Linked DNA regions of Notamacropus eugenii. The protein of the gene in region 2 binds, or shares a complex with, the protein of the main gene of each other region. Links are inferred from orthologs where the notes say so. Each region holds a gene or a part of one and is shown on either strand. Other genes may lie near its edges.

The links.
Region 1: RBM15 (region 2) and CBLL1 share a complex: the UniProt entries of both Homo sapiens proteins name them as parts of the WMM complex. The link is inferred for Notamacropus eugenii from reciprocal best matches to the Homo sapiens genes RBM15 and CBLL1.
Region 3: RBM15 (region 2) and WTAP share a complex: the UniProt entries of both Homo sapiens proteins name them as parts of the WMM complex. The link is inferred for Notamacropus eugenii from reciprocal best matches to the Homo sapiens genes RBM15 and WTAP.
Region 4: RBM15 (region 2) and METTL14 share a complex: the UniProt entries of both Homo sapiens proteins name them as parts of the WMM complex. The link is inferred for Notamacropus eugenii from reciprocal best matches to the Homo sapiens genes RBM15 and METTL14.

The regions. Positions count from the first base shown.
Region 1 is NC_092874.1:147,685,274-147,692,967, forward strand, and holds the start of CBLL1 (E3 ubiquitin-protein ligase Hakai), read right to left. Parts: upstream 3,257-7,694; 5' UTR 3,181-3,256; coding exon 3,168-3,180; intron 1-3,167. UniProt on the Homo sapiens protein: E3 ubiquitin-protein ligase that mediates ubiquitination of several tyrosine-phosphorylated Src substrates, including CDH1, CTTN and DOK1. Targets CDH1 for endocytosis and degradation.
Region 2 is NC_092873.1:288,849,918-288,857,240, reverse strand, and holds the start of RBM15 (RNA-binding protein 15), read right to left. Parts: upstream 3,278-7,323; 5' UTR 1,689-3,277; coding exon 1-1,688. UniProt on the Homo sapiens protein: RNA-binding protein that acts as a key regulator of N6-methyladenosine (m6A) methylation of RNAs, thereby regulating different processes, such as hematopoietic cell homeostasis, alternative splicing of mRNAs and X chromosome inactivation mediated by Xist RNA.
Region 3 is NC_092873.1:253,463,186-253,470,656, reverse strand, and holds the start of WTAP (pre-mRNA-splicing regulator WTAP), read right to left. Parts: upstream 3,300-7,471; 5' UTR 3,170-3,299; intron 2,998-3,169; exon of another isoform or gene 2,765-2,997; intron 2,374-2,764; exon of another isoform or gene 2,155-2,373; intron 1-2,154. UniProt on the Homo sapiens protein: Associated component of the WMM complex, a complex that mediates N6-methyladenosine (m6A) methylation of RNAs, a modification that plays a role in the efficiency of mRNA splicing and RNA processing.
Region 4 is NC_092878.1:165,436,008-165,444,207, forward strand, and holds the start of METTL14 (N(6)-adenosine-methyltransferase non-catalytic subunit METTL14), read right to left. Parts: upstream 3,006-8,200; 5' UTR 2,822-3,005; coding exon 2,756-2,821; intron 2,383-2,755; exon of another isoform or gene 416-2,382; intron 1-415. UniProt on the Homo sapiens protein: The METTL3-METTL14 heterodimer forms a N6-methyltransferase complex that methylates adenosine residues at the N(6) position of some mRNAs and regulates the circadian clock, differentiation of embryonic stem cells and cortical neurogenesis.

The DNA.
Region 1 (7,694 bases), on a different chromosome or scaffold from region 2:
AATTTTTAAACAGGATGTGAATACAAAATAAGAGAAATTGTTTTCATGTGCAGGCATTTTATTAAAAGGAGGTATATCACAAAACCTATACCTTTCTCCCTCAAAATACACATAAGTAGTAGAGTAACTAGAAGCCATATTCTTGTGGTACAAAAAGGTGAAAGAAGAAATAATGAATTATATATAAGGCATTCCTAGACCTATACCTAAACCTAGCTCAGAGCTGCTGTTAAGAAGTACTTTTTTTCACCCAAAAAACATTAAGAGAAGTATAATGTTGCTATGAAGTCAACTAAGTCTTAGACCAAAACATGCTTTCCAAGCCCCGTAAATCACATATTTACCCAGTTACCTGTAAAGCTCAGTACTGTAAAAAGAACAAAATGCCTCACTTCCAAAACACATGGATTGCAAAGAGAGATTATGCATTTCTAAATGCCTAACACAAATATTATTCCCCAGAAAAAACTGTTTAAGGCTGAGGCATGACTTCCCAATTACAGGAAAAGATGTTACTTTTTACTAACTAAGCCAAATTTCAGTTAATTAAAATGATTTTTTTCAGTTACTTTTGTTAAGCACTTCAGTAAGTTACTGTGCTGTCTGAAAATTTTTAGGACATCTAACTAGAATTGTTCAGAATGTATTTAGGTAAAGCCTGCTTGAAGGTATTAAGTTGGACTTGAACTTCGAGACCTATTTCTAGGTTTCTCATCATTAAAGACTCATGTTCAATCCTACAATTCATTCTTTTGATCAACAGGAATCTATGATTGTTTGTTGGGGGGAGATTCAAAACTGAACCTTAAACAATGCACTTCAAGAAGCATTTACTAAATGCCTGCTATACGCTAGGAACTATGAACACAAAAACAAAAACATAAATGAAAACTCCCTGCCTTTATGGAAAGGGAACAAGGGGTACAACATTAATCAATAACCAATCCACAGGTATTTATTAAAATGCTTTTTATTATACAGCATTTATAACATACATAGATAAGTAAATACAAAGTGATTTTGGGTAGGAGAAGGGAAGTATCAACAATTGGGAAGATCAGGAAATGTTTATGGTAAGAATTCCAAGAGGTAAAATGGCAACAAAATAATCCAAAATATTTTTCATTACCAGTTTCTTAGCATTATTTTATAACAACTATTTTGTAACAAGCCATGATTTTAATATAAGATGGGGACAAGAATAACAAGGGTGACAAGAATAACAAGGGTAAGAGAGAAAAATAGCATCAAACACATCAAAAGATCGCTAATGGCCCAAAGTTTCCTCCCATTTCACCGAACACCTTTCATTAAAAGTTCAACCAAATCAACTTATTTCACTTTCACTTTTCATTTTTGTTACTTTTCCTAGCGAAGGCATTTAAAAACTTCCAAAAGAGCAGCCAGGTAAAGAGAATTGTTGGCCAGTGACTTTTCAGTTTGGTTCTTTCCTGGCATAAAACCTCACCTCTAACTTTGCTAGAAAGTCAAAATTATGTTTTTCTAATAATAGTATGCATTACTGTTACCTCTCCCTACCTGAACTGAATACTGCCCATAGTTTTAGTTTTGTATGAAGCTGAAAAGCCTCTACTAGCAGGTCTTTGTACACTACACAACTGGGGTTACAGCTGCAGCTGGTAAAGCCTGTTCTTTACTCAACTGCCCTTCTGTGTCTTAAGTCGTTCTCATAAATACAACATTTACTAGACGATATATGTACCCATGTTTTCTAAAACTAGGGTTTTACAATATACAAATAGGGTACACTTCTCACTGTAAGTCAGTAAGTCAACAAGCATTTCTTCCATGCTTCCTACCTACCAGGCACATTTGGAGAAACCAACAAACTAACAACAAAATTAAGAACGGGGTCCCTGCCCTCAAGGAGCTCACATTCTACTGCACTACAAGCACCAAGTTTCCTTTGAAATAGCCCTACACGGAGCGCAGAACTTGCGATAAGAAAACAATCCGTGACTGTTCTTTCACTTTTCTCAGGGTCCATTTAAAAATACTAGGTTCACCTAAAACACACACAAGCCTCCAAATAAATATCTCACTTCCAACGTCGAATGCAAAAATTCTGCTACTCTCTGGGGGGTGGGGGTGGGGGGCACTTCTCTGTTACGAAGTCCAAGACTTCAGCTTTATCAGTACTTTAGCAGTCGAAGCAGACAGGTGGCTCAGTGGGTAGACAGATGGGCCAGGAGTAAGGAAGACCCGAGTTCAAATCCGGCCTCGGACACACCCTGGGGAGTCATTTCACCTGAAGCGGCAAACCACTCCCGAATCTGTGCCCGGAAAACCCCACGGGCAGTCCGGACGCGCTGGGTCCAGGGGGTCCCAGAGAAACGGACACGACTTCGTAGTAAGTGCACGGTATTTTACTTCACGGACTACAGACACCCTACTAGCACTGCTCACAAAGCGCCCCAGAAAACAAAAAGCCTGGCTCACCAAGGGGCCGCGGCTGGAGAGAGGAAGGGGTTGTTGGTTAGCGCAGAGTCCAAAATGAGGAAGCTCCCAACCGCACACAGCCCAAAAGCCGAGGTTCGGGGAAGACAGAAGGGTCTGGTCGGGACTTTACACAAAGACTGCGCTGAAGGGGAGCTCGAGATCATATCCGGCTCCTTCAGCCTAGCTACCACACGCACGGGCACCGACGACAACGAAGCTCTGGGCGGCTGCGAGGGAGGAGGAAGCCACGGGGACGTCTAGCCCCGTGGCTCTACTCCCACAAAGCCAGGGTTGGGCTCCCCAAGGTCCCCTCCCTTCCCCAAAGCCCTACACTGGCCGGGAAATAGCCCCGGCCGGCACAAGCCGCCAAACGCCGAAGACGGAAAGGAAGGAGGCCTCGGGGGGAACCCAGCGCCCCCCACGCAGCCCCGGGGTCCCACTCTGGACCGACACGGCGCCGAGGCTGCAGCGCGGAGCGGGGGAGGGGATGTAAAGAAGGGGTGTAGGCCGAGAGGTCTATCAGGCCCCAGCTGGGCACGGCCGGGAGGGAGGAAGGGAGGGAAGAGGAGTATGTAGAGATCCTCCCTCGCCACTGCAACCCATCCCCTCAGGACGAGCCCGGTTCCGCTACGCCAGCCGGGCGACGGCGGGTCTCGGGCCGGCCGAGGGGTCCATGTAAACGAGACCCCCCCCCTCCACCTCCTTACCAGTGTGGTCCATGATTCGGCTCGAGGTGCACTCTGGGAGCGGAAGTCAGCGTCGCCCCAGTCACCACGGGCGCGTGCGCGACGACCCGACCGAGCTCAGTCAGCGGAAATGAGATGAAGGTGGCTTTTGCCGGGGTTCAGGGACGAAGAAAGTTCGGAGCAGTTTGGAATGGGACGAGGGAAAAAAAGATAAGGAAAATGGGAGCGCAAGGAGACAGCTTCATGGCAGAAGGGGCCGCCGGAGCGATTCCCTAGGTACAAGAAGGAAGAGCCATCTTCACAGATCAAACCGCTTCTCCCTTTGGCGGGAGAGAGCGGATGGGGGATGGGCGGGGGCGGTATTTCCTGGTCGAAGTACTTCAACTTCCGACAGGCCCCGCGGCTCCTCCGACCTCGCGCAGCCTAGCCTCCTGGGACTTGTAGTTTGCCCTGGACAACACCCTCCCTCGGGCCTCCAGCCTTCTCTCCCACCCGCACTTCCCTCCAGCGACTGGTTGTTCTCGGTGCGCAGGCTCAACCGTTGGGGTTGCTGAGGTCTCCGCGTTCGTCCCTGCAGGCGGCGGAAAGCTCGAGCGGAGTCTGGGGAAAGGCGTGGTTGGACGGCCGCCAGCTCCGAGGGTCCCAGAGGCTGCGTGCGGAGATCGAGGCGGGGAGCTAGGACCGGTGCGCTTTTGTTCCGTGTTGTGTTTTTGACTTGGTTTGTGGGGCTCCCGAGGCATGCGCTGAAGACCCCGTGCCCGCCCCCCGTCGTTTAACTATATGAAAGTTTTAAAAAGAAGTTTATCCAGTTGTTCGTTTCTGGGGAAGGTGCTGGGACGCCTTCTGAGGTCCCAGAAGGAGTTGGCTTCAGCCTCGCCCCCTCCCCCAATACCCACGTCCCTATCCCTGTGCTTTAACCTGATGGTTCTCAAGTGCTTTACAATCTGCAGACATCCCGTAAGCATCCCGCAAAATAATCGTTTTGCACCTATTTTGACTCTTCTAACGATTCCCTCTATCTCTTGACTCTGGGCATTGTTGTCTCTGGCTGTCCTCCCCTCCCCCTCCCATGCCCATGCCTTCTGACCTTCCTGGCTTGCTTTAAGTTCCGTCCAAGATCCTACCTCCCCTAGGAAGGATGATGTGTTTTACTTACTGTGCAGTTAAGTTACAGTAATAGCAATAGCCAGAATTCTTGGCTTCTCTGGATTGTGTGGGGATTACCAATCTCAGTCAAAAGAGCTCTTTAGCAGTCTTAAAGCAGTGAACTAGGTCCCAGCCTCACAGACCTTATTTTTTCTAAGTTTCTTTATGGATATGTAATCAGAAGCTTAGTTGGAGGGAGGCACGTATAAACAAACAATACTCAGATATTTGTGTGTAGCATTATTTATTGTAGCTGGTTATAATCCCTGCATTTTATGATCTATTTTACTGCACAAATTTGTTAATTGTGAAAAATCAGTAATCAAAGTGCAAACCTGGAAGAGTATATGCACAATGATAACGGCTCAAATTCAACTTCTTCCAGGTATTTTTTTTCCTTAAACTTAAAATGGACATATACCTAAACATTTTAATGGTCGGTTTCTGCCTTTCCTAAAGATAATAGGAATGTGTTGTGGGATCAATCAATTAAAAAGAACCCTAAAGATTAGGGGTGGAGAACCTACAGCGGCGAGGCCACAGAGGCCCTCAAGGTCCTCAAGTACAGCCCTTTGACTGAATCCAAGAACAGTTTGGTTTCCCAATGCAGGTTCCCTGCCCCTGCTAAAGATGATCTCTGAGCCTCTTCATTTTACAAATGAGGAAACTCATTTATGTGATTATGTGGGATTATGTGATTTGTGGAAAGTTCACATAGGTAGAATTTGATCTCTCCTCTGACTCCAAAACTGGTGCTTTTTCCACTGAACCCAAGGAAGAGTACCACTTTATAGTTATTACTGGACTTTTGCACACTCCACTCTTCATCTGCTGCTGTGCCTGGTTTCAACTCCAGGGACCAAGGTGGCCCTGAACTGGGGAACCCCCTTGGTCTCTCTTCCCCTAACCCCCCCAATTGCCGAGTTGGATTGTGAACTCCTTGAGAGCAGGGATTTTTTTTTTTAATTATTGTATCGGGCTCTTTGTAAAGTCCCTGGCATGAATTAAGTGTTTAATAAATGTGGATTGGAATTGAATGGATTGAATGCCCATGAAAACTTTTTAGACTTGGTTCAGTGTTCTAGCCTGTCAAGATATTTTTAAATCATGACAATCCAGGATGCTAAGTATTGCCGGCTAGTTTTGTGTCATGTGTAAATTTAGTGATAGTACCAAATCTTTATCATTGTGGTATAGTGGAAAGAGTCCCTAGAATTAAATTGCCACTTAACATCTGTGTTCCTGATCAAGTTATTTAAACTCTTTAGGGAGGAGGGAGGGAGAGAATCTCGGTATTCCCAACTGTACAATGAAGGTGTTGAACTGGATTACTTCTAAGTTCCCTTCCAATTCTAAATCTTTGGTTCTATGTTAAACTTCACAGAACCAAGTAGATCCTGGATCCCAGAGAAGGCATTGATAAAAAAAAAATATATTAATCACCTGCTATTCTGTAGGCACATCAAATCTAGCTTTTAGGTCTAGCCATTCAGTCAACTCCAAATCTACCTGCACTGTTATCTAGTTCACATTTTTATGTTTTTTTTGTAGGAGTAGCATAAGAGGCTTCATCATATGCTTTGCAAGTTTGAGAATAGGAGACCAAATGATGAAGATATTTAATAAGCATTTCTGAGAATGGATCTCAGAGTATATAAAAATGCAGTGCACATTGAGATAACAGTGATGAAATAGGGAAGGGAAAGTTTGACGTCATCTTCTGTTCAGTAAATTCCAGTAGCTTCCTGTCACCCAGGATCAAATATAAAATCCTGTTTGTCATTCAGAGCTGTTCACCTGTCTTCCCTTATCTTTCTAGTATTCTTACCCTTTCCTCACTTCCACATACTTTGTTAGCCACTCCCACTGGCCTATCTGCTTGTTTTTTGAAAGAGCACTGAGTATTTTCACTGGCTTTCCCCTGTACCTACAATGCTCTCCTTCCTTGTCTCCAACCAACCACTTAGTGTACTCAGAGGGATTGCTTATGTCTTTGTCTTAAGGCATCTGCTTCAAGTCAGAGCCAAAATCCTACTTTCTACAAGGATCCTTTTCTGATCTCCCTTAAGAGCCTTCCTTCTGTTGATTATATCCAATTTATTCAATATAGAGCTTGTTTGTACATACTATGCCATCTCCTGCATTCTACTGCCAACTCCCTGAGAGCAGAGATTATCTTTTGCCTTCTTTGTATCCCCAGAACTTATTACAGTGACTGGTATATAGTTGGTTGGTTGGCTGTTGTCCTTCGTTTTCAAAGAGGACAAAAATGACATCACCATGATAAAAATGAAGTTTCAGTGTGTCTGACTGTGGCTGATCAGACCAATACTGTATTTTCATTCATGCGAAAATTGGATTTAAGTGAGGCAGAGTTGCACAAAGTTGTCAGCCTCACTCTATCCCTCAGTCATCATAGTTCAGTGGCAGGACAGAGTCAAGATGGCTGGCAATGACTTAGGATGCCATGGATGACCTTGGTGTCTTCAGTATCTAACCAAGCTCTAAGGGCTCCACATCACCTGCTTCAGCTGCCTTCATGGCCGTTGGAAGTCTTCACATGTAGGGTATGTTCAGGGAGGACTAGTACCCTTGGTGTGATGGCTGCTGAGCACTTTTGGGGACTCTTTCTACCTTTGGTGTTCACCTGTTCCACCCAGCTCTCACCTGTGGCTCCAAGAAGCTGCAGTATGCGCAGCGGCCACACCCTGGTAAACCATTTTGGCAGAACGGCCAAACTAGGTTGAGGATAACCAAGGATTTTCAAACCCATTGATGAGTTAGGGGGTTGTCTACCTCAAGCATGTGACTGGTATATAGTAGATGATTAAGAAATACTTATTGATTGTAGAGGGACCTGTCAAAAGGGAGACATTGTAGAAATACATAAATAGTATATAAAGGACTCTCACCGTATCAAAGCCTCAGTCTTCAAAAAGACAAGTGATTTCAAAATGGACATCTTTTCCTTATTTCAATAAGTTTAGTTCTGTGGGAAGTTCCTTTTGTCCTTTATGTTCTTTTTCCCTTGTTCTATCCCCTTTTCTCACAAAACTTCAGTCAACAGTACTACATAAAACGTAGCAATATAAAATATTGTTTGGAGAAGTTTATGATGATATCTTGCAAATGAACGTGTTCACAAAACTAAAGCAGTTTCTTCTGGGATGTAGAGGTAGAAAACAGTAATTTCTTGATTTAGTTATCTGGATTTTGTGTGAAAGACTCACAAATGTTCTTTATAAGTATTTGGTTGTTATTTTGGGATTTGGTTGGGGTTTTTTGGTTTGTTTTTTCTCTAGCAGTCAATGTTCCAGCTAATCTGGAGTGCTAGCTGTTTCTTCTTCAAACAGTATGTCTTGCCCTGTGCCTGGAATGCATACCTTTCCTCCCCTTGCCTGT
Region 2 (7,323 bases):
AGCAGGGGAGGTGTGCGGTCCCGAGCGCCCCGCAGGGGGTCAGGGGCTCGGTGCCCAAAGGCATCAGCCACCAGCTCGTAGTGGGTCAGCGGCAGCGGCTGCAAGTACTGCTGCTGGTAGCGATGCTCCGTGTCTGCAAAGTCCACCCGCAGCCTGCGGTCAGGCCCCCCCAGCGGGAAACCTCGCATATGGGTCCAGGCAGCGTGGGCCGCGTCTAGACTCTCGTACTGGATGTAGGCCCAGCTGTCGCCCTTGCGGTAGTCGATGGTGCGGATGGTGCCAAAGCGGTCAAACTCGCGGGCCAGGGCAGCCAGCGGCACCCAGGGGCCCAGGCCGCCCACCCAGAGGCGTGTTGTGGGCGTGGCCTTGCCATAGCCGATCTTGATGGGGTTGCGGATGATGACCTTGCCGGACATGGCCAGCTTGGCGCGGTGCGACATGTCCAGGTTCTCGAACTTGAGGAAGCCATAGGTGCTTGCCTGGCCCCGCGTAGGCCGCTTGATGTCCACCTCGGTGATGACCCCAAAGCGGTCGAAGGCCCTGCGCAGGTCGCTCTCAGTCACCGTGATGTCCAGGTTACCCAGGAAGAGAGTGCGGTTGGCACGTTGGCCATCCTCAGGAGATAACTCGTCCACTTCGCGGAAGGGGGCGGCGCCGGCACCCACTCGGGGCTCCAGGCTGTAGGCTGGGCGCACACGCTCGTAGAAGGGGTAGTCGCGCTCCCGCTCCAGCTCCCGGGGCAGCGGGGGCGGGGGCGGCGGGGGCAGGCGGCCCAGGGCCAGCTGCTGCAGGCGGTAGTCCCGGTAGCCCAGCGCTGCGCCCCCCGGGGACAGCGCCCGCTGCCCCCCGCCCGGGGGATGCCGGTGCCCGCCCACGGCAGCGCCCACCACCGCGGCGGGCGCGTAGGCCTCTTTGTCCAGAGGGGAGCGGCTGCGGCGCCGGCTCACGTACACGGCCTCGATCTTGAGTGGCCGATCGTAGAGCACCAGGCGGCCCCGGGCGTGCTTGGCCGCCCGCGCGTCCTCCGGCCTGCGGAAGTTCACGAAGGCCACGCGTTCGTCGCCCGAGCCCCCGGGCAGGCGGCTGATCTTGACGCTCACGTCGCCGAAGCGCTTGAACTCGTGGAACAGCCCGTCCTCCACCGCCTCGTCGCTGAGCTGGGAGCCCAGCTCGCTGATCTTGAGCGTCTTGTACTCGCCGCCCCCGCCGCCGTCCGCGGAGCTGGGGGCGGCCCCGGCCGAGCGGGCCTCCCCGCCCCCGCGGGAGCTGCTGCGCGACTCGCCCCCGCCCGACGAATTCTTGGTGCTCGGGGAGCTGTAGCTGTGCAGGCGGCTGCTGGAGCCGCCGCCCGGCGCGTCGTACTCGCGGCTGCCGCCCCGGCTGCTGCCCTTGTCTAGGTGCAGGCTGCGGCGGCCGCCGCTGTCCGCCTTACCGCTGCTGCTGCCGTTGCTGCCGCCGGAGCCGCCGAGCTTCTTGCTCCGCTCCCCGCGGGTGCTCGACTCCTCCCCGCCGCCGCGGGAGCGCTTGGCCTTCGCGGGAGAGCGCTCTTTACCCTTCATCGCGGAGGACTGTGCGGGGCCGCCTCGGAACAGGGGAGCTCGCCTGCCCGCGCTGGTTTCACACAGCGGAACCCCGCGCCGCCATCTTGCACACCGCCGCGGCAATGGACCCCGCCCCACCGCCCTCATTGGTCAGCGAGCGCCTCTCTTCCTCAAGGTCATTGGGGGTTCCCTCTGTCTGTCTCCCCAGCTCCCAGCGCGAAGTGAAGGATCCCGCCCGACCTCTCTTATTGGAGTCTTGACGTCCTAGGAAGAGGATCCCATTGGTTGTTGCCGTTGTCCGTATTAACGGTTCCTCGCGCCAGTCGGTGGTTCCGCCCCTCGCCGCACCATCGAATCACCTGACTCCAATCCTAGCGAGGTTGATTGGCTAATAGGCCCGTCCTGTAACGGTTCATCTCGCGCGGGGAGAATAGCGAGCCCACCTCTTCATCCTTTTCATTGGTCCGTAATCCCCTCCCCTTGACTTCTAATTGGAAAGCGAGACCATCAGTTCGGGCACTTTTTCCGAAGCGAGGGTTAGGCTAATATCTCGCGAGTAACTATTTCTCCTTCCTCCCCTCCCCCGCCCTCTTCACTCTTCCTTCATTGCGTCCAGTGTCTGAGTAGAGAATTTAAATCTGGTTGGGTGCCTGCCAAGAATCTGATAGGCTTCAAGGCATGTCAATCAAGTTCTGAAGCCTTCAGCTTCTCCTCTCTTAAAGGGCTAGTCGCGGCGACCGAATGAGGAGACTGAAGGTGAAGACTGGAGCGCGTGGGTGCGTGGTGACGTTACTAGAGTCGGGCGCTTTGAGTGCGAGCCGGGCCGGGCCCCGCCCCCGCCGCGGTGTCTGGTCTGCGCGGAGGGGGTTCGAAGTCTCTGGATTTGTCTACTGCGTGGCTGCCCGCTGCGCCTCTTCACTTCCCCCGCCCCCACCCCCATTCCCAGGCTGGGCGGGAAGGGTCGTTTCCTGAAACCCGCAATCCCTACGGAAAGTGGCAGGCCCAAGCCCGACTACCACGTCAGGCGCCGCAGGGCGGGGCAGGGAGGCTGGCCCTCTGTCCCTCCACCCAGCCCTTTTCCCTGCGGACGTGCCTGTCCCCAATAGAGCACTAATTGAGCGCCCACTGTATGTCGGGCCATGGCTAGTAATAAGGCACAGCCTCCGACCTCGGCACTAGTCTGGCAGAGGGTAGAAGTGACCCGTCACGCACAATCGAATTAAAATTTGTATCATTAATAATAACAGCTAGTATTTATAAAGAAGTTTACGCATTTTCATCTCGTTTGATGCCCCTAACAACCGTGTGAGGAGGGGCGTGTGCGTGTGCGCTAATTTTCCTATTTTACAGAGAAGGAAACTGAGGCAAAGGAGTCCCGTGCCTTGCTCAGGCTTAGGGTTTGGGGCACCTGCTGGATACCTGAGAGGCCGGGCCCCGCCCCCTGGGAGGAAGGAGGCGGGGGGGGGGGGGGGGGTCCTTGCCAGGAGGCAGAACCCGGGTTCGACCGTCCCAGAAGTGGACTGGGATCCGAAAGGTGCATGAGCAAGGACGGTGACGTCAATGTGACGTCACGGGCGGGCTGGGGCTCCCGGGGGGGAAAGGTCCGACCCGGTAAGGCGCCTAAGAAGGGATTTTTGCGGGTTAAAATCAAACGTTTTGTTCCCTGGGGAACGAGCGGGAGGGAAAGTAAGACAAGCCAGTATGGAAAGTGAAAAGCACTCTTCCTGAAAAAGAAGAGCGCCCGTGACGGGCCTCGGCTCGCGGCCCCGGCGCCCGCGTCAGCCCGGGGCGGGGCTGGAAGGAGGCGCGGCCCGGCCGCAGCTGGCACCTTAAGGGCGGTGCTGCCGCCGAGGCTCCGCTGCCGCCGAGGCCCCGCTGTCTCCGAGGCTCCGCGTCCGCGGCCCCGTGCGGCCGAGCTCCGGCTGCTGCCGCCCGCACGGCGCGGCCTCTGTGCCTGCGGCGGCCGCTTCTGGGCGCCTTAGACTGCGCAGTCCACCCCGAGTGCTGGCTCATTTCCTGTTTCAGCCCTAGGCTCCCTCGCAAAGCACCGCTGTCAGATTTATAAAACATAGCGTATAAAATTACACTGTGCTGAATGAATGGATATGACAACGGAGAAATTCTGCTAAACTAACCTAATGCCTTTTTTTCCCCTGACAGTTATGAAACTGGACCAAGGCGATGCTATAAGCCAGGAAGCTCTTTTAAAATGAAACTGTTTTGGTTTTCTCTTTGTAGCCCTATCACCTTGCACATACTGGACATAGAATCAATGTATAATGACTTGAATTAAACGAAATTATCTGTTTTAGCAAGTCAAAAAGGCTTTGTGATGTTCAAAAAAAAACCGCTAGTATTCTCCTGGACAAGTTGGAGCTATGTTACAGATGATAGTAAAATTAGGTGGGCTCCTATGTGAGCCCGAAGCACTGTCTAACAGGTGCCAACCTTAGGTGAAGACCACAGGGCTCAGTGCTTGACCTTGCCTTGTTCACCATTTTATCAATGACTCGGATGAAAATCTTGATTCAGTTTAAATCCGTTCAGTAGACGCCTTAGGGGCCTACCTGTGTACTATATGAAAAACACAGTTCAGGAAGAAATATAACATTTAGATAAGACAGATCCTTCCACTATGAAATTTATCATCGGCTGGCATACTGATAGCCCACAGGATGTAGAAAGATCTCAGAAGTCTAGAACAGCTCACACTTTGAGGTTTGACAAAACATGATACAAGTACCTTCTCAGCTCATCCTCCCTATCACCCTACTGTAAGGCGGGTGCTATCATAACCCCCATTTTACAGATGAAGCAGACAGAGGTTAAATGACTTGTCCAGGGTCATCCAGCTAGTATGTGAGACAGGCTATGAGTTCAGAACCTCCTGAGTCCAGGCCCAGCAGTCTATCCACTGTACCACCTCGCTGCCTCTGGAATGGAAAGATGAATCTACAAAGATTAAATTTTAAATTTTACATGTAACATTTCAATTTTTTTTTTAATACAGCTGTGAAAGACAGGATTGAGGAGAAATGGATAGACAGCAGTGTGTTGGAGAAAGGACTGGAGATCATAACTTCAGAAGACTGATAATGAAGCATCCCCTTTTATCTCCCATCTTGGCAGAGAGATTCTGGACTTTCAGAGGGGAGTAGCGAAATGTGTTGGTTTGTTTTGTTTGAGTATACTTAACTTGTTACAAGGAAACAAAAACCATCATCAAACCCATCTAATTCAAATCAGCTCAACAAACACTGAACAGCTGTAGGATACAAGACACTCTACTATATCCCAAGAGTACAAAACCGAATCATTTCCAGCCTTTAAAGAGCTTACACCCAGGTGGGGAGGGGAGGATAGGGAGAGGATTGTAATGGGTTGCAGAGATGAGTACTAAGAGTACTTAAGGGGGGGGGGGGGGAGAGTTGGAAAGTCTTACTTCAGGAAGAGGCACCTGATCCTGAGGGTTGAGTTCAGGGAACTGCTAATAGGTTGGTTTGTCTGGAATGTAGACTATGTGAAGCAAGATAATATGAAATCAGACTATAAAGTTAAGTTAGAGACAGATTATGAAGTTTTCTTAATGCCAGCCTGAGTAGTTTGTGTTTTATGTTACAGGTTAAAAAACCACAGAAGATTTTTGCTTGGGGAAGTGACTCATGCCTTGGGAAGATTATTTCAGCCCTTTCAAAGCGAGTATGGATTGGAGAAGGGAGAGCCTTGAGGAGGAGACCGATTAGGAAGCTATTGCAATGGTCAGGGCTAGAGGTAATGACATCCCTAGCTAGGATAGTGACTGTGTGAGTAGAGATGTGGAGGAATACAAGACAGTAACAAAGTAGAATCAACAAGACTTGGGCTTGAATTGGTTGGAGGAAGGGGTAAAGAAGAAATGCATCTGGAAAGATGTGTATTCTTCAGCTAATAGTGGGAAACATGTTGAGTATAGGATGCCTTCAAGACATCCAGATGATGTCCTAAATTCAATTAAGGGTGCAGATGCAGAAACATTTCCAGCTTGGTAGAGCCCACTAGCAATTATGTTCAGCTAGTATAGACACCTGCACACCACAGTGAGGGGAGGTATCATCGTGGGCTCTTAGTGAAGACCATTGAAGATATTATTCAGGAGATTTATGAATGGAAAAGGAAGGACATGGAGCATGTAATTAGAGCAAGTACCCTACTCTAGTGCCTTTTTTTATTTAAATATTTTCAGTATATAATAAAATATAGAATGTGCCTACAGGTAGAAAGGGGCAGCTAGGTGGCCCAATAGATAAGAGCTCTGGGCCTAGAGTCAGGAAGATCGTAGTTCAAATCCAACCTCGGTCAAGTCCCTTAACCCTGTTTTCTTCAGTTTCCCCATCTGTCTGATGAACGGGAGAAAGAAATGGTAAACCAGAATCTTTGCCAAGAAAACCCCAAATGGGATCATGAAGAGTCAGACTTGGACAGGACTGAACAGCAAGAGGCAGAATATGCCTGCCAACAGTTCCGATGTGCATAGTATTTAATAGGGAAGCAGCTCAGTATCACAAATAGAGTTCTGGAATTGCAGAATTGCAAAGGTAAACTTGGATTTGAATATAGCCCAAGGACATTTATTAACTGTGGGTCCCTGGACAAGTTGTTTAATCTCTTTTTAGATTGTTTCCTCTTCTGTAAAATAGAGATAATAATAGCACCTACATCCCAGGGTTGTTGTGGGGATCAAAATAACATATACAAAACACTTTGCAAACCTTAAAGTACTATATAATTGTTAGCTATTACAATAGGTGTGTTCCTGAAAAATTGTTCATAATTTATCATATAAATATTGAATTCTTTTGTAAGAAAACTGTTCACCTAATCAACCTTATTTATTAATTTGGCTATTCATATATCAGAGCTTCTCAGTTTATGAGACAATCTCTAAATAGACAAATCAAGAAAAATTCCATTATGTAACTCAATAGGAGTTCGTCTAAAATTTCATTGTTTCTAAAATAGTCTATAGCATATTATTTAAAAGTTTCATTTATTACCCAGTTATTTGTCATTTTAGTAAATAGAAAAGATTAAAAATAACATTAACGTTAATAATTCACCTTGTTCATAAAGCACTCCGAAAAGAAGAAAAAACTGTTTGACATATTAAATGATAATATTCATTCGTGAGTTGCCATGGCCAAAAAAAAAAATTATCACCACATGGCAAGCCTGCTAGTAATGTACCTCTCCATAAATAACTGATTTAGTCCTCATAAAACAGGTTATGGCCAGGGCCATAGTTGAAGTCTTTCCAGCATGATAAAATCTGCCAGACATTGTACTGCACTGGTGTTGACTTCCAAAACCCAAGGTCATATAAACTTGTCTATAAAATCTTAAGAAGATTGATGGATGATTTTGAGCACAATTCTCTTATAATACAAAGAGAAGCAGTGAAAGGTAAAGCCAAGTTTTAAAAACCATGGCAAGATATCCTACTACTAAGCAAAGTCATCTCAAGGGCATTCAGGAATGAAAATGGAAGAACGAAAATGGAAAGAAAAACAGACAAGATTTTTAAAAACCATTTTATCAAATTGTTTTCTCCATGGAACATCACAGTTGGGGAAGGGAAGGCAATAGATATCAAGGAACTACTGTGTGCCAGGCACAGAACTAAGCACTTTACAAACATCTCATTTGATCCTCCAACTACCCTGTGATATGTGCTGTTATTGTCAACATTCTACAGAGGAGGAAACTGAAGCAGGCAGAAGTTAAATGACTTGCCCAGAGGCACAGC
Region 3 (7,471 bases), about 35 Mb from region 2:
CGGAAAAGTTTTCTGTTAACAGGTAACACTTGAGTTTCACCTAGAAAGAAGTTAAGGATTCTCAGAGAAGTAAGGAGGGAACACATTCCAGGAACATGGGACAGTTTGTGCAAAGACCGGGAGGCAGGAAATGGAATGCTAAATTCAGGGAACAGTGAAGGCCAGTTTGGCTGGAACACAGAGCCCATGAAAGGGAATCATGTGAATCTGGAAAGGTAAGCTAGAGCCAGACTTTGAAGGGTTTTAAATGCCAAGCTATGAAGAATGAATATTAGGCAAAAGGGATTCTTAAGCAGGGTAATGACATGCTCAAGTCTTTGCTTTAGGAAGACTATTTTGGTAGCTGTGTGAAACATGGATTGGAAAGGGAAGTGCCTGTTTGCAGGAAGTCTTACTAAGAGGCTACCAGCAATATCTAGTGGAAAAGTGATATAGGCCTGAACTAGGATGATCTTTTAATCCTAAGGCAAATGTGTGGTAACACATTTTCCCAACATAAGTGTGTTAACAAATGGTTGCATTTAAAGATGCTGTGAGCAGGCATGGCTCAAATATTAGAGACTGAAGTGACAATCCTAAGAATTTCAATCCAAGAGCTACAGCTCACCTATACCACTGTGAATCTATGATAACTAGCTGAGACTAGGCGGCACAGTGGCCACAGCACTGGAGTTGAGCAGACCTGAATTCAAAGCTCAGACACCAGATGTGACCTGTCTATCTCAGTTTTTTCAACTTTAAAATCGGGATAATAATAGCATCTGCTTCACAAGGTTGTTGTGAAAATTAGATAATATTTGCGAAGTGCAAAGTGCTCAAGCGTAGGTGCTTTAAAAAAATTTGTCCTGACTTCCCCAGTTTCCCTATCAGTAAATTGAGGGAACAATGCTCATTCAGTTACCTCCTTCATACCAATAAAACATGGAAATATGAAAGTATTCCATAAATGTACACTTACTCTAAAATAAGTAATATGCTCTCACAAATTTTTAAATTTTAACCTTGATGTTACAGCAACATCCGAAGGCCTGGGTTCTGAATTGAAGTTACTAATTCACTTTTTTAATATGGGCCTCAGTTTTCCAAATAAAGTTTGATTAACCTTTCCCATCTCTTCCAATTATAAAAAAAACTTAGCAACTTCAACTGTGAACTAGACTCTACATTGAAGGTATTCTGGAATAGTGGCAAAAATACTTAACTTGGGAGTCAGAAAACACAGATTATAGTTCTGGTTCCACTATTATCACAGTTATGTAACCCTCAGTAAAAATCAGTAAGTAGCCAAAACATCTTATAAGCTTCAGTTTCTTCATCTGGAGAAAATGGGGATAGTTATCTGCTCTGCATAGGGATCAATGGGTTGAATGTAAAACTAAACTGACGAAAATACTCTGCAAAAAGTACATGACACTAGTTTCATCACCCTCTCCTCAAAGTATTACATATAACATTCAATAAATATGTTGAAAAAAATGAAAGAACAGATCTCTCTCACTACTTGAAATGGGACCAGAGTAAACCATTCTCTCAAGAGCTAAAAGAAAAATTAGAGAACTAGCTTGATATTCTTTCAAGAAACTAAAGCCCCAGAGAAATTAAGTGGCTTGCTCAATGACAAGTAGCCAAGCCCAGGCTAAAACTGAAGTCTTTTAAAACCAAATTCAAACACTGTTTCCTAGAGCAGTCACTTAAAGGCATAGTAACAGAAAACACAATCAAAAGAACATTTTTTTCTAAAAACTTCATATGTTGCCAATAAAAACTTCAGGACTCAGAAAATGCTTAATTTGTCACTAAGAAAAAAAACTGAGTGGCTGGAAGTTTATGACAGGAGGAAAAGAGATTAAAGGGGGTGGGGTTCATATGATTTTCATTTATCCCCTATAGTAGCTAGATAATTTAAACACTTCTTTTATTCAGTTTAAGAGCAAGATGTAATACCCAGGACTCCCAACAACTCCGAACTACAATGCATTATTTAAAATATTTGCTATTCGGGGAGAAAACCCATATTAACCCCTTGCAACTAATACTACCCCAAAGTTTAACAGATTTTTATAAGACCAAGTACTAAAGAGTGTCAAAAAATTCAAGACCCTGTTACACCCACTTTTTTCTCCCCCCAAACTATTTATACCAAACGGGCCTCACCTAAAAAACGAGCGGGCAGAGGAGGAGGCGTGGGATTCCGAACAAGTTTCTGGATGTAAACACGCCAACACTTCTTTAAAGCTACTTTGTTTCCTGTTCCCGCGGATTAAAGCTCATTCTAGCTCTAGGTTTGCGAAAACTGGGGCGGGCGGGGGAGGAGTCCATTATCGCTCCCCAAAAACTCATTTTTTTGTTAGGATAAATTTAAATTTAGGATTCCTAAGGAAATAAACAAACCCAAACCTTTGCTTTTTTTGGCGTAGTTCCTTTTTAAGCCCAGTCGACCCAGAATTCGGCCGAACGTGGCGGGAGCTCCGGGCCCCGCGCCCGCACCCCGGCTCGCTGTCCCTTCTCCCGCTTCCCACCGCAGACACCGAGCAGGGTAAAATGGCCTAGGGCGGGAGCATCCGCGTCCCCGCATCAAAGGAGGCGAAGCAGTTAACGGAGTCGGCGGCCCCGCAGGCCCCGGCTCCTCCACCGCCGCGGGGAGCGGCCTGCGGACCGGGCGAGGCCGGGGTAGGGCGAGGGGGGCGTCGGGAGGGACGGGGTCACTTCGGGGCCCGAGGCGGGCGAGGTCTGTTCCGGCGGCGGCCCCGCGTCCCGCACTTACCTCTTCACGCCGAGGCAGCCCCTGCCGCCGCCGGCTTGTCACATAGACCGGCCCGGGCGCCGACCCCCTCACGTACAGACAGACGGTCGGAGCGGCGGGCGGCCGGGCTCGGGCGACCCCACCACCCCAAGCCGCCTGGGTGCCCTCGGCCCCAGCGACGGCTCCTCCTCCTCCTCCCGCCGCAGAGAATGACTCTCCCCTTTATTTGCGGGTCTCGCTGCTACAAAATGGCGCTGGAAGAGGAAATGAGGCTCCGTCACCCCCCCCACCCCCTTCCCTTCCCCGTCTTCCCGCTCCTCCCGTCGGACGGCTCCGCCCCCAGCCCACGCAGCCCCGCCCCAGCTCCGAGCCGAGCCCGCCCCTTCCCTCCTCCCGTCTCGTCTGGTCGGGGCCTGGCTCACTCACCTGGAGGACGAGGCTTCCGATAGGTCGCCTTTGCGTCCAGCCGGAGTCCGCGGCGGGTACCCGCGGGTGGGCCCCCCGCCCCCGCCACGCCGCTCCCGGCCTGGGGGCAGGGGAAGGAGACGGCGAGCGGCAGCAGCAGCCTCAGCAGGGGCTAGCTCGGGCGGCGGCGGTGGAGGCGGCTTTGCTCCCGCCCCCCCCCGCCCCGCAGAGCCCAAGCTGAGGCGCCTGGAGAGGCCGGCCAGCCGACCTAGTGACGGGTGGGGAGGGGGGGTGGCAGACGTGTGGGGATGGGGTCACGGAGGGAGGCGGGCGGAGTGGGAGGGAGGGGAGAAGGTTGGAGTTCAGCCGCGGAGCATCCTGGGAAAGGCGATGGGGGGCGGGGTGGGTTTCGCCTACTCCCGCGGGCGGAAGGAACGTTCCCGGGGTCCCCTGCTGCTGCTGGTGCTGGAGGGCGCCCGCCGGCGGAGGGATCCTCGGGGGTTGGCTGCCTTCTCGGAAGCCGGCGGGGTTTGCTCGCGCGCCGGCGTTCTGCTGGCTGGTCCTTGGTGTGGCCGGTGTCGTGGCCCGTGACGTTGTGAGGAGCTGCTCCTCGGGCTGCCCGGCAGCCTGAAGACCGCGCCTCCCGGGGGAAGGCGGACCGGCCTTTGTTCTTGTGCGGGCTTGGCTGCAGCTCCTACCGCCGGGAAAGAAACGCCAACGAGGGGCTGCGCTTGACGGCTGGTGCGGAGCCCCGGGCTTTGGGGCGTGATTGTATTCTCATTCCACATTCACTGGAATAAAGTTCATTACGAAGGAGCCAACCAAGTTGGACTCAGCGAAATCGCAATTGTTTTTTGTTGTTGTGCCTTTTTCTTTCCACGATAGAACCGTAAAAGAGCTTTAAATAAGACTGCACGTTAGAGTTTTCTGTACTATGGGCTGGTCAAATCATTGCCGTAGTAGGTGTCCGCCCGAAAACTCAGCTGACCTTAAAGAAGCTAGTCTTTAAGTATTCATTAGGATACAATTAAAGGTAAGACGTGCTTTGTCGAAGGAGACGGACGAAGTTCCTCTTGATAGCACAAAGGAATGATAAGATGAGTTAGACGTGGCTGAAAAGTAGTGATCCTAGGGAAAAACATTTCTTTAGCGTTCATATACGATTTTCCTCAACTTAGTTAATACGAAAATGAAATTGCTTTTCTAACAATCCTGGGAAAGTCTTTAGGGTACTATCTTTAGCAATGTCGAGCGCATGGAATCATGGAGTTTTAAAGCTGTGAAGGGGCCTTCAATATTACGTAGCCTTTTGTAGCCTGGCTTCCAACCTATCTTTCCAGCCTTCCTCACCCACCTTGTGCTCAGTGATCGAACTAAAGTGGCCCTCTCTCTTCCTCAGCGTCTCTGCTTTTGTCCTGGTTCTCCCTCACGAATGGAATGCACACCCTTCCCAGCTCCGCTTTACGGAATTCCTTTCTGCCAGATGCAGTTCAAACACATGAAGCACTTCCTGATCCCCCAACTGCTAGTGCCTTCTCAAACGATCTTGTACTTATTTGTATCCTCCTTATATTTATTCCATATATATTTGTTGTCTTCTCATTAGAACGCAAATCCCTTTTGAGCAGAGTTGGTTTTATTGTGTTTGTATCCCCAAGGGTACTCTGCCGGGAGTATATGCTGTGTTCAGGAAGTACGGGCACCCCTGGCGTGAGGGCTAGCAGAGTTCTTTTCAGGCTGCTCATCCACCTTTGGTGTCCACTTGTCACCCAACTCTCACCTGTGGCTCCAAGAAGATGTAGCAAGTACAGCTGCCATACCCCGGTTTAAAAAAAAAAAAAAGGTCTTGCCAGACAGGCTGAAGCAGGTTGAGAGTTAACTGAGAGCGTTAGTGAGTTAGGGGGAGGTCTACCCTAAGCATGTGAAGACTGTTGGTGAAATGAGCTGATGAGAACACTATAATCAGAAGGCTGTGAAGGTGCTGTGTAGTGTTTGGAGCTTGGTCAGAGGATGCCAAGGTCATCCACTGCATCTAGGCCAGTCATCCTGACTTTGATTTTGTCACTGGACTTTGATGACTCTGGAAGAGAAAGTGACGACTTAGTGCAACTTTCCCTCACTGAAATCCAAATTCACATGTTAGTCAAGTCCTCACTGTCATGTCATTAGTCTCCTTCAAAAAAAGGAAGAATGAACCACAATATGTGTAAGTGCAGCTAGGTGGTACAGTAGATAGAGGGCCAACTTTGCCAGAAACCAAAACAATACAACTAAAACAACAGAATAACAAAAGTCCTAAGGCCTAGCTCAGTGCTCAGCACAGGAAATGCTGAATAAATATGTGTTCTCCAATCACTTTTCAGTCATGCAAGATTCTTCATGATCCTGTTTTGGAATTTTCTTGGCAAAGATACTGGAGTAGTTTGCCAGTTCCTTTTCCAGCTCATTTTACAGATGAGGAAACTGAGGCAAACAGGGTTAAGTGACCTGTCCAGGGTCACACAGCTAGGAAGTGAGCCAGATTTGAACTCAGGAAGGAGTCTTATTGATTTCAGGCCTGATGCTCTATCCACTTCACCTAGCTGCCCTTAAATACTTTAATGTGTTTTTAAAACACCCTTTAAGATGTTTTCTATTGATCTAGTTAGAATTTTTATGTGTACTTTGTAAAGGTTTGATTTTGAGTTCTCTTATCACCTTGGTGAGATTATAGGGAGGTTAGCCTGTCAAACAAATCATATCTTCCCACAGAGGGTAACAAAGAGGCATTCTTTGGCACCTCCTGAAGGGCAGGTCTTATTGACAAGGACTGTTTCTATATGTATTTGTTGACTTGAACTCCTGTTCTGTGGGTCTAGGGGAAAGGGCTTTGTGTTGACAGGAAATGAGGTGAGCCCCACTGTGATGGAGCAGGTTGTTCAGAATAACCAGCCTTTGAAAGGGAGTTTTCCCTTTGTCTTTCCCTTTGTCTCCCTTTCTTCTGGAGAAACCCTAAGAGTGTAGCAGGACTAGTGCTTAAGATGTTAGTGGATGCTTTGGAGAAGAGGTATCAGGCACATTATGAAATGCATGTGCTCATGCCCATGTGGCTTGAGAAGAAAAATCTTGGACACCAGGGGCCCATTTCACCTCAGCCCCAGATATGTAAAAAAGCTTACATATGCCAAGAAACTGAGTAGCAGCTGGAGTTTTAGTAGTGTATCATCAGAGTCATAGCTCTATAAATAAAAGGGACTTTTTGGAGATTATGGAGTCAAACCAACTTCATTTTGTAGATGAGGAAATTAAGCCCAGGGTGGTTTAACTACTTGCCAAGGTCACACAGCTGGTGTTCAGGATTCAAACTCAGGTCCTGTAATTTCAAGTTCAGTGCTCTTTTTCTTGTACCATGCAGTCTTAAGAGTTGCTGGAGACACATAATGAAGGTGCTTGCCCTTGTGGGTCAAAAGTTCCTTGGCAGTATTCAGTTGCTGGCTCCACCCTCAAAGAGGCAAAGGCAGGGCAGCCATGCTGAGGGCAGTCATTTAGCTAAATGGTAAGAGTCCCTGAGGAATGTGTCCCAAGTAGCAATCTAGCAGTTGAGGGATTTCTTGGACAGTGCCAGTTTCAGGGGTTGCCCTAAAGATAACCCAAGTTCAAGAATTTGGGAATCTAGCCTTCTATTGAGAAAAAGGAAATTTCCTAAGTGCATGCTTCAGAGAAAGATTCCAGCATCTGTGGCCCCAGTCCTGGGAGGAACAGTATAGGGGACTAGAATTACAATGTGGAGGAACAGGGGACTTGAACATGGTACTGTGTCACCACATATTTATTATGCACTTACTATATTCCAGGCACTGTGCTAAGCTCTAGAGATACAAAGAAAGGCAAGAACTGTCCCTGCCCTCAAGGAGCTCACATTCTATAATGTAAACAGCTATGTACATACAAGTTTTAAGTAGTGTGGATGGAAGGTACTACGCTGACTGAGCCACTTGGATGGTGTGATTTTGCTGGGAAGAATTTTGCCTGTCTAGCCACCCTAGGTGGATGGTAATGACAGGATGGTTTTGAAAATTTGAAAAAACTTTGGAAACTTGTACAAATAGGACCCAATGGAGAAGGAAGAGAATAGTTTTGATTGTAATAACTGTAGAATCTTTTCCCACACTGTTTATGGACTCCTGTGGAGTGCTTCTACAGGATCTGGAAACCCTCTGTGAGAACCTAGACATGAGATTTTCCCATAATAGATACTAGATGAGGACATAATGAGTCAAAGAATTAGTGATTTGGTGGGAAGGTTTCATGATTATAGAATCACAGAATTTGAAAGTTGAAAGG
Region 4 (8,200 bases), on a different chromosome or scaffold from region 2:
AAGCTACCCCATCTCAGGTCTGCTGCCTCTTTTCTGGGGAAGGCAGAGGCTGAACCAGATGCCCCTGAGGTCCCTCCAGCCCTAAGCCCCCAGTTTCCTCTCCTTGGGCATCCCCCAGTCAGTCATTTTCTAGAGTAAACATGGTCCTGTGCCAGAGACCTATTGAAGCCAGGGACCGAGACCCAACAGAATGTCAGGCTGGACTCTGAACCAGGGCAGATTCAGCACCTAATGAAGGACGATCAACGGGATTCCAAGGCTCTTTCTGTAAAGAATGGCATGTTCGATGGCAAACAGCTTTATGCAGTCAATCCTAGTGAAAAGGTGTCCCATGTAAATGTGGTTAGTTCAGAGGAGTGAAAGCAAGGTACAAGGGTGCTGCAGTGTAGACGTCATCCATGAGCTGATTACAAACCTGGCCTACCAGCTGATGGGCTTCTGAGGCCGAGCTGCAGATCCCAGCAGCAGATTTCAAAGCTGGGCAGATGTGCAGACATCATCAAACTCAACTCACTCATTTAAGAGATGAGAACACTGGAGCCCAGAGAAGGGGAGGGACCTGGCCAAGGTCATACAGGCTGAGGAGAAGAGAAAGGAGCCCTGGGTCTCCCATCCCTCATCACTATACGTTCTAACAGCACGCAGCTGAGGACTCTGGTCAGTGGTCACCAGGATCATGGATAGTGACTAATTAAACTTCTCTTTAACCAGTGCCAGAGAATGATCAGATAAGTCAGCATCTGCTATCGGTCCATTCAATAGGGTCTGCTATGTGCCTGGCACTGTGCGAAGGGCTGGGAAGACAAAGAAAGGCAAAAACCAGCCCTGGGTGTGCTCCAACGGAGATGATGGGTAAATGTCACTGGGGAAGCCGTTAGCAGCTGAGGGCATCAGGAAAAGCTTCCTGCAGAAGGTACTCGGCCTGGAGCGAAGCTGGGAAAGAAGGCAGCAGAGACCAGGAGGCAGAGCCCAGCAGCCTGGGGGACGCTGGCCCAAAGATGCGGAGCAGAAGCCGCCAGAGGGTGTGCTCGAGGCCAACGCCCAGGGATGGCAGAGGTGCAGGAGGGCAGTAAGGTGCAGTCAGACTGGGAAGGCAGGAAGGGACAGGGGCACAAAGAATCTAAAGCTCGGAGCTCGCTGAGCAGTGACCAGGTCTGACCACTCTAGAAAAAGCCCACTGGCAGATGAGAGGAAGCTGGCTCTTGCCTCACGCCTGGCAAGAGGCAGCCAAGCCTGGAGCCATGAGGGGAGAAGAGCTGTCCGCAAGCCAGGGTAGACAGCGGGCTGGGCCAGGAGCGGGCACCCAGCCTTGGGCGGGGGTAGCCCGACTGCTCAGGGGTGACAGCCCCCTCAGAGGGGGAGCGGACACTAAGTCAGCACACTACGTGCCAGGCTGGACTCTGAACCAGGGCACATTCAGGAGGGTGCTGAGTGCTGGGGACACTGACCAAAAGCAAAGGCCGGCCTCGGCTCTCGAGGAGGCAGACGACACCCCCCAAGGGGGGAAGCTGAAGCCCGGGTGAGCACAGCGGGGGGCCAAGAGGCACCAGAACGTGCAGAGGCCGTGAGAGCTGAGGACAGTCAGAGGAGAGCACCCGCAGGGCCAGGGCAGAGTCCTGAGGGCCCGGATGGCAGGGCCAAGCCAGGGCAGGAGCGGGGCAGCCAGGAGGCGGTGCCCAAGGCCCAGCGGGGAGGGGAGGGGCGGGGGAAGAGAGCGGGGGCACGGCCGCCCGGGGGGCTTCTTCAGGGGCACATGCCAGGGCCAGCGGGCAGGGCAGGATCTCCACCGCCCCCGAGACCGGGGGAGAGCCCACGGCAGGAGGAAGGGCTCCCACCCGTGGCCCCACCTGGGGCCAGGCTTTCCGTCCGGGGTCCCGGGAGGGAGCGGAGGGGCGAGCACAGCGGGGGGCCCTGGGGGGCAGGGAATCCGGGGCCTGCAAAGAACCCTAAAAACGAAAAGCTCAACAAATGGCCCTAACAGAGTCCGCGCTGGGGGGAGGGGCCCGAGACCCGGCTCCTTCGGGTGGCCGAGGCTCCGTGCTGAGCCCGGCGGGGTGCCGCCGGCCGGGGGACGGGAGACCCGAGCTCGAACCCGCCCCGGACCCCGGCGGGCCGGCAGGGCCTGGGCGAGCCTCCTCCCCGCCCCCGCCCTCCCTGGCGCGCGGGGGGCTCGGCGCCGGCACCCCCACTTCCCAGCCCGAGGCGGGGCCCGCCCTTCCCAGCAGGCCGCTGTCTCTGCGACCCGAGGCCCGCACTTCCACCAGGGCTAACTCGCCCCTCACTGACAGGGGCGTAAACTGAGGCTAGATCACCAGGGCTTCCTGGAGGCAGGGGCGGCCAGCAGGGCCCGAGGGGACAACGCCGGACCTCGGCCACCGGAGCAGGGCGGCCAACAGGAACAGGAGGGGACCGAGGGGCGGGGCCCGGGAGAGCGGGGCGGGCGCGCGCGGCGAGAGAGGGAGCGGGCATGCGCAGAGGAGCCTAGGACAGGGGGCGGGCCTGAGCGGGGCGGGCGCGCGCGGCGAGAGAGGGAGCGGGCATGCGCAGAGCGGCCGAGGACAGGGGGCGGGCCTGAGCGGGGCGGGCATGCGCAGAGCGAGCATGCGCGCCGGGGAGAGGAGGGGGGCCTGAGGGACGGGCATGCGCGGCGAGACAGGAGGCGGACATGGGCGGGACGGGCATGCGCAGAGCGAGCATGCGCGGGGCGGCCGCGTGTACGGGCAGCACAGCCCCGAGCCCCCGCCCCGGAGCTCACCTGCTGGGCTAGGAGTTGCCGGCGCAGCTTCTGCCGCTCCCGGATCTCCTGGAGGCGGCTGTCCATGTCCCGGCCGCCGCTATTCTCACAGGGCAGGAGGGCGAGGGCCTCCCTCGGCGACAGGCGGTTCCCCGAGGCTGAGCCTTTCCCGGCCCGCGTCCCCTCCGAGGACCGGCCCCAACGACCCGCTCGACTCCACGCTCCCCGGCTCGTCGCTTCCGGTCCAGGAAGTCCCGCCTCCTCCCCACGACCTCGCCGGCGCTGGGGCGTGCGCGGTGGCGTGACGTCACTGGTCAGGAGGCGTGGCCGGAGCGCGGATCTCCCCCGCCCCTCCCTCTCCGCGTGCCCGCTTCGCTCGGGGGCGCGCCCCGCGGGGCTGCGCTGCCTGGGCCCGCCGCAGGCTCGGACCCGTGCCCTCGGTCCTGGGGCTCAGCGCCGGTCATTCCAGGGTCCCGCGTGCCGTCCGAGCTGCCAGGCCTTTACCTGCAGCCCCGTCCTCTCCGCTGAGGCCCGGTGCGGGCACTCGCCGGCCGCCTGACCCGGAGCGGGTCCGTCCATCCCTCCGGGCCTCAGTTTCCCCTCCGGATCCGCTTTCTGTGTCTGCCGGGAGCACCCGCCCCTGACGGACGCCCAGCCCGGAGCCTCGGAGCCCCTTTCCGGGTCCCCCCGGTTATCACTGCGTCGGGCCGGCCCCCCTCCCCCACGGTGCCCCTTGCACCCCAGGCGCCGTGCTAAGCGGGGAACACGACAGCGCCCCAAAATGAGAAACGCCCGCTGCCGGCTCGGTGCTACACGCGGGGCAGACGCCGCGTGTGCAGTTTGGGCAGACCTTGAGGTCAGAGATCGTCTCAGAGGGAACCTGAAGAATGCCTGGGCGGTCCGGAGGCAGCCTGGGCAGGACTGTGGGCGGCCAGTCTGCTGACCATCGAAGACCGCGGACTTAGAGTGCGCAGGGCCGCGGGACCCAGCCTCATTTTACAGAGGAGGAACAGCCTTGAGGAGCGGAGGTCACTTGTCCTTGTCCGTAATGCTGGTTCAGTGGATGCCGACTTAACCGAATTTAAGTGAAGGAAAGACCCGTGTGTCTACACTGCCTGCAAGGTCTCGCCTCGCACCCGGCAGCTCGGACTCTGCCTCCGCCTCTCCTCGCACGTGCTCTTCCTTCTGGATGTCTTCTTGTGGGGGCACCGTCCTGTGCCTAGCTCCGAGCGGCTCTTAATTCCCCAGACACGCAGACTCCAGGTGGCATTTCGGAGGCTTGCTCCGTGCCCCATCTTCCCCCCTTGTCCCCCATTCAGGGCATGGACGCTCCTCTCCCTTCTTGGAATCTGCACAGCGCGTCTACACAGCAGTAACAACGGCAAGAGGAAGCCCGAGAATCAAGGCACACTCCAGATGTGTATTAATTACAGCACTCTTTAAAGAGAAGAGTGATTGGATGGGCGTGTATTACCCATGGTTGGACGGGGCCAATATAATAAACATGACTATACCGTTCTAATCAGTCTAGAGGTTGGGGGCTATAACAGACTGATCAGCGAACACTTCATAGAGGTAAATAAAATCGTATTTATTTAGAAGGACAATAGGCTTGAAAGGTCAAGGGGATACTGACAAAGAAAAAAGTAGGAATGGAGAATTTAAGATTTCATATTCTACCAGAGCAATGACCATCAAAGCAATTTGATGCTAATGAAGAAATAGAGAAGTCAACCCGTGGAACAGGCTCCATAAGGAAGAATCAGACACAACTGAAGTCAATAGCCTAGTGTTTGATACAACCAAAGGCATGAGTTACTTGTGGGGAGGATTTCGTTTTTGGCAAGAAATACTAGGAAAACCGAAAAGCAATTTAACCTCCCCCAAAATGGTCTAACTCGGGTACACTGTATAGCATAATAAACTCAACATGGCTACATGACCTGAAGATTCAAGGTCATACCATAAAAAAAAAATGAAAAAAGAACAAGATTAGGAAGCTTTCACAGCTACAGCAAGCAAGAGAATTCTTAACCAGAAATCACACGTACAAAGATCATTTTCATTATATTAGGTTGAAAAACCTTTGCATTGACCAAATCTGTTCAACTGAGAAAATAGGACACTAGAAAAATGTTTGCATCAAATACCTCTGATAAGGGTTTGATTTCCAAGGTCTCCAGGAGCTAACGCAGTCTGGAAATAATGCTCTGGGAGAGCTAGTTTCCAATTAGGATAGCCAAGCACCATGTTAGGGTAAGAAAGACTATTCTGGCAACAGTATTAAATGTGGAAGGGGTTGGGAGAGGACCCAAATTTCAGTTAGTGTACAAAGGAAAAACAAAGAAAGAGGGTACCTGAGCAGGGACTGAGGGCAGCAAGAGAATGTGGAGAAGGGACTATTTTAGGGTGTCAGTAAATCAAGGTGGAGAGTGGTAGATGATAGAAACTAAGCCAGAAGCTCTAGCTGAGATTGAAGTCTGGCAGCTTCCCTTTTTTAAAAAATTTATTTATTTATTTTTAGTTTTCAACATTCATTTCCACAAGATTTTGAGTTCCAAATTTTCTCCCTATCTCTCCTCTCACTCCACTCCAAAACACCATGAATTCTGATTACCCCTTTCCCCAACCTGCGCTCCCTTCTATCACACTCCTCCCTTGCCTTATCCCCATCTTCTCTCTTTTCTTGTAGGGCAAGATAGATTTCTGTATCCCATTATCTGTATTTCTTACTTTCCAGTTGCATGCAAAAACAATTCTCAACATTTGTTCCTAAAACTTTGAGTTCCAACTTCTCTCCCTTCCTCCCTCCTATCCCCACTGAGAAGGCAAGCAGGTCAAGATAGGCCATACATGTATAGTCCTGAACTTCCATAATAGTCATGTTGTGAAAGACTAACTATTTCCCTCTGGCTTATCCTGTCCCCCACTTATTCTGTTCTCTCTTTTGACCTTGTCCCTCCCCTAAAGTGCTTACTTCTAATTATTTCCTCCTCCCATTTGCCCTCCCTTCTATCATCCCTCCCATCCCACTTATCCCGTTCTCCCCTACTTTCCTGTAGCGTAAGATAGATTTTTCATACCAAATTGAATGTGTATGTTGTTCCCTCCTTAAGCCAAATGTGATGAGAGTAAGTTTCACTTTTTGCCTCTCATCTCCCCACTTTTCCCCTCTATAAAAAAAGCTTTTTCTTACCTTTTTTATGAGAGATAATTTACCTCATTCCATTTCTTCCTTTTTCCTCTCAATATATTCCTCTCTCACCCCTTAATTTTATTTTTTTAGATATCACCCCTTCCCATTCAACTCACCCTGTGCCCTCTGTCTATATGTGTGTGTGTGTGTGTGTGTGTGTGTGTGTACAATCCCTACAACTACCTAAATACTGAAGAAAGTTTTAAGAGTTACAAATATTATCTTTCCTTTTAGGAATGTAAACAGTTCAACTTTGGTAAGTCCCTTATGATTTCTCTTTCCTGTTTACCTTTTCATGTTTCTCTTCATTCTTGTGTTTGAAAGTCAGATTTTCTATTCAGCTCTGGTCTTTTCATCAAACATGCTTGAAAATCCTCTATTTCATTGAATGACTATTTTTTCCCCTGAAGCATTATACTCAGTTTTGCTGGGTAGGTGATTCTTGGTTTTAATCCTAGTTCCTTTGACTTCTGGAATATCACATTCCAAACCCTTCAGTCCCTGAAGGTAGAAGCTACTAGATCTTGTGTTATCCTGATTGTATTTCCACAGCACTCAAACTGTTTCTTTCTGGTTGCTTGCAATATTTTCTCCTTGACCTGGAAACTCTGGAATTTGGCTACAATATTCCTAGGAGTTTTCCTTTTTGGATTTCTTTTAGAAGATGACTCGTGGATTCTTTCAACATTTATCTTACCCTCTGGTTCTAGAATATCAGGGCAGTTTTCCCTGATAATTTCATGAAAGATGATGTCTAGGCTCTTTTTTTGATCATGGCTTTCAGGTAGTCCCATAATTTTTAAATTGTCTCTCCTGGATCTATTTTTCAGTCAGTAGTTTTTCCAATGAGATATTTCACATTGTCTTCTATTTTTTCATTTTCTTTGATTTTGTTTTATAATTTCTTAGCTTCTCATAAAGTCTTTAGCTTCCATTTGCTCCATTCTGATTTTTAAAGAACTATCTTCTTCAGTGAGCTTTTGAACCTCCTTTTCCATTTGGCTAATTCTGCTTTTTAAAACATTCTTCTCCTCATTGGCTTTTTGAACCTCTTTTGCCATCTGAGTTAGTCTATTTTTAAAGGTGTTATTTTCTTCAGCATTTTCCTGGGTCTCCTTAAGCAAACTGTTGACTCACTTTTCATGATTTTCTTGCATTTTTCTCATTTCTCTTCCCAATTTTTCCTCTGCCTCTCTTACTTGATTTCCAAAATCCTTTTTGAACTCTTCCATGGCCTGATAGAATCACCACGCAATTCTATCCATTGCATATTTATTTTGGAGGTTTTGGATGCAGAAACCTTAACTCTTATGTCTTCCTCTGATAGTATGCATTGTTCTTCCTCATCCAAAAGGATGGAAGAAAATACCTGTTCACCAAGAAAGTAACCTTCTATAATCTTATTTTTTTTTCCCTTTTCTGGGCATTTTCCCAGTCAGTTACTTGACTTCTGAGTGCTTGTCAAGTGGAGGGTATACTCTAGGGACCTGTAAATTCTCAGTTCCTCCAAGGTGGCACAATTAAAGGAGAGGAGTTTACTTCTCTCCTGGCCTGTGCTCTGGTCTGGGAGCAACCCCAAGCTTTTCTGCCCAGGATGTGTGAGTAGAATTCTCTGTCCAGAGCCTCCACCAGCTCTACCAGCCAGTGCTCATCCTCACCCCAGGACTGCCACTCAGGGCTGAGATCCAGATCAGTGGATTCCCCCAGGTTCTTTAGGCCAAGGGCTCCAAAAATGGATGTTGCTGCTGCTGCCACCACCTGGGGCCGAGGCTAGGGCAGGACCCTGCTCTCTTCTCACCCAGGTGAAAGAGCTTTCTCACTGACCTTTGAAGCTGTCTTTGGCATTTGTGGGGATCTAGCAACCACAGTTGCTGCCTGGTATTCCATGCCCCAGCCTGCTCCAGTCCTGTCCCTGCTGCATGGCGTGGCCAAGGCCTCACTATGCTCCTCTCCAAGCCTGGTGTAATAGACCTTTGCTGTTGGCCTTCTAGGCTGTCTTGTCTGGAAATCTCTTTCACTCTGTTGTTTTGTGGCTTCTGCTGCTCTAGAATTTGTTAAGAGTCATTTTTTACAGGTATTTTATGAGCTGTGGAGAGAGAGCTTCTACAGGTCTGTTCTTCTACTCTGCCATCTTGGCTCCGCCCCACAGCTTCCCTTTTTTGTGTCTGTATTTCCATTTCCTTCTTCATTTTTACATTTCAGTGATCTCAACAAAGTAGCCAGAGCCAGAACCAGTCATTTTGGCAAAGCAACCATTGGTTGGGGGCAAG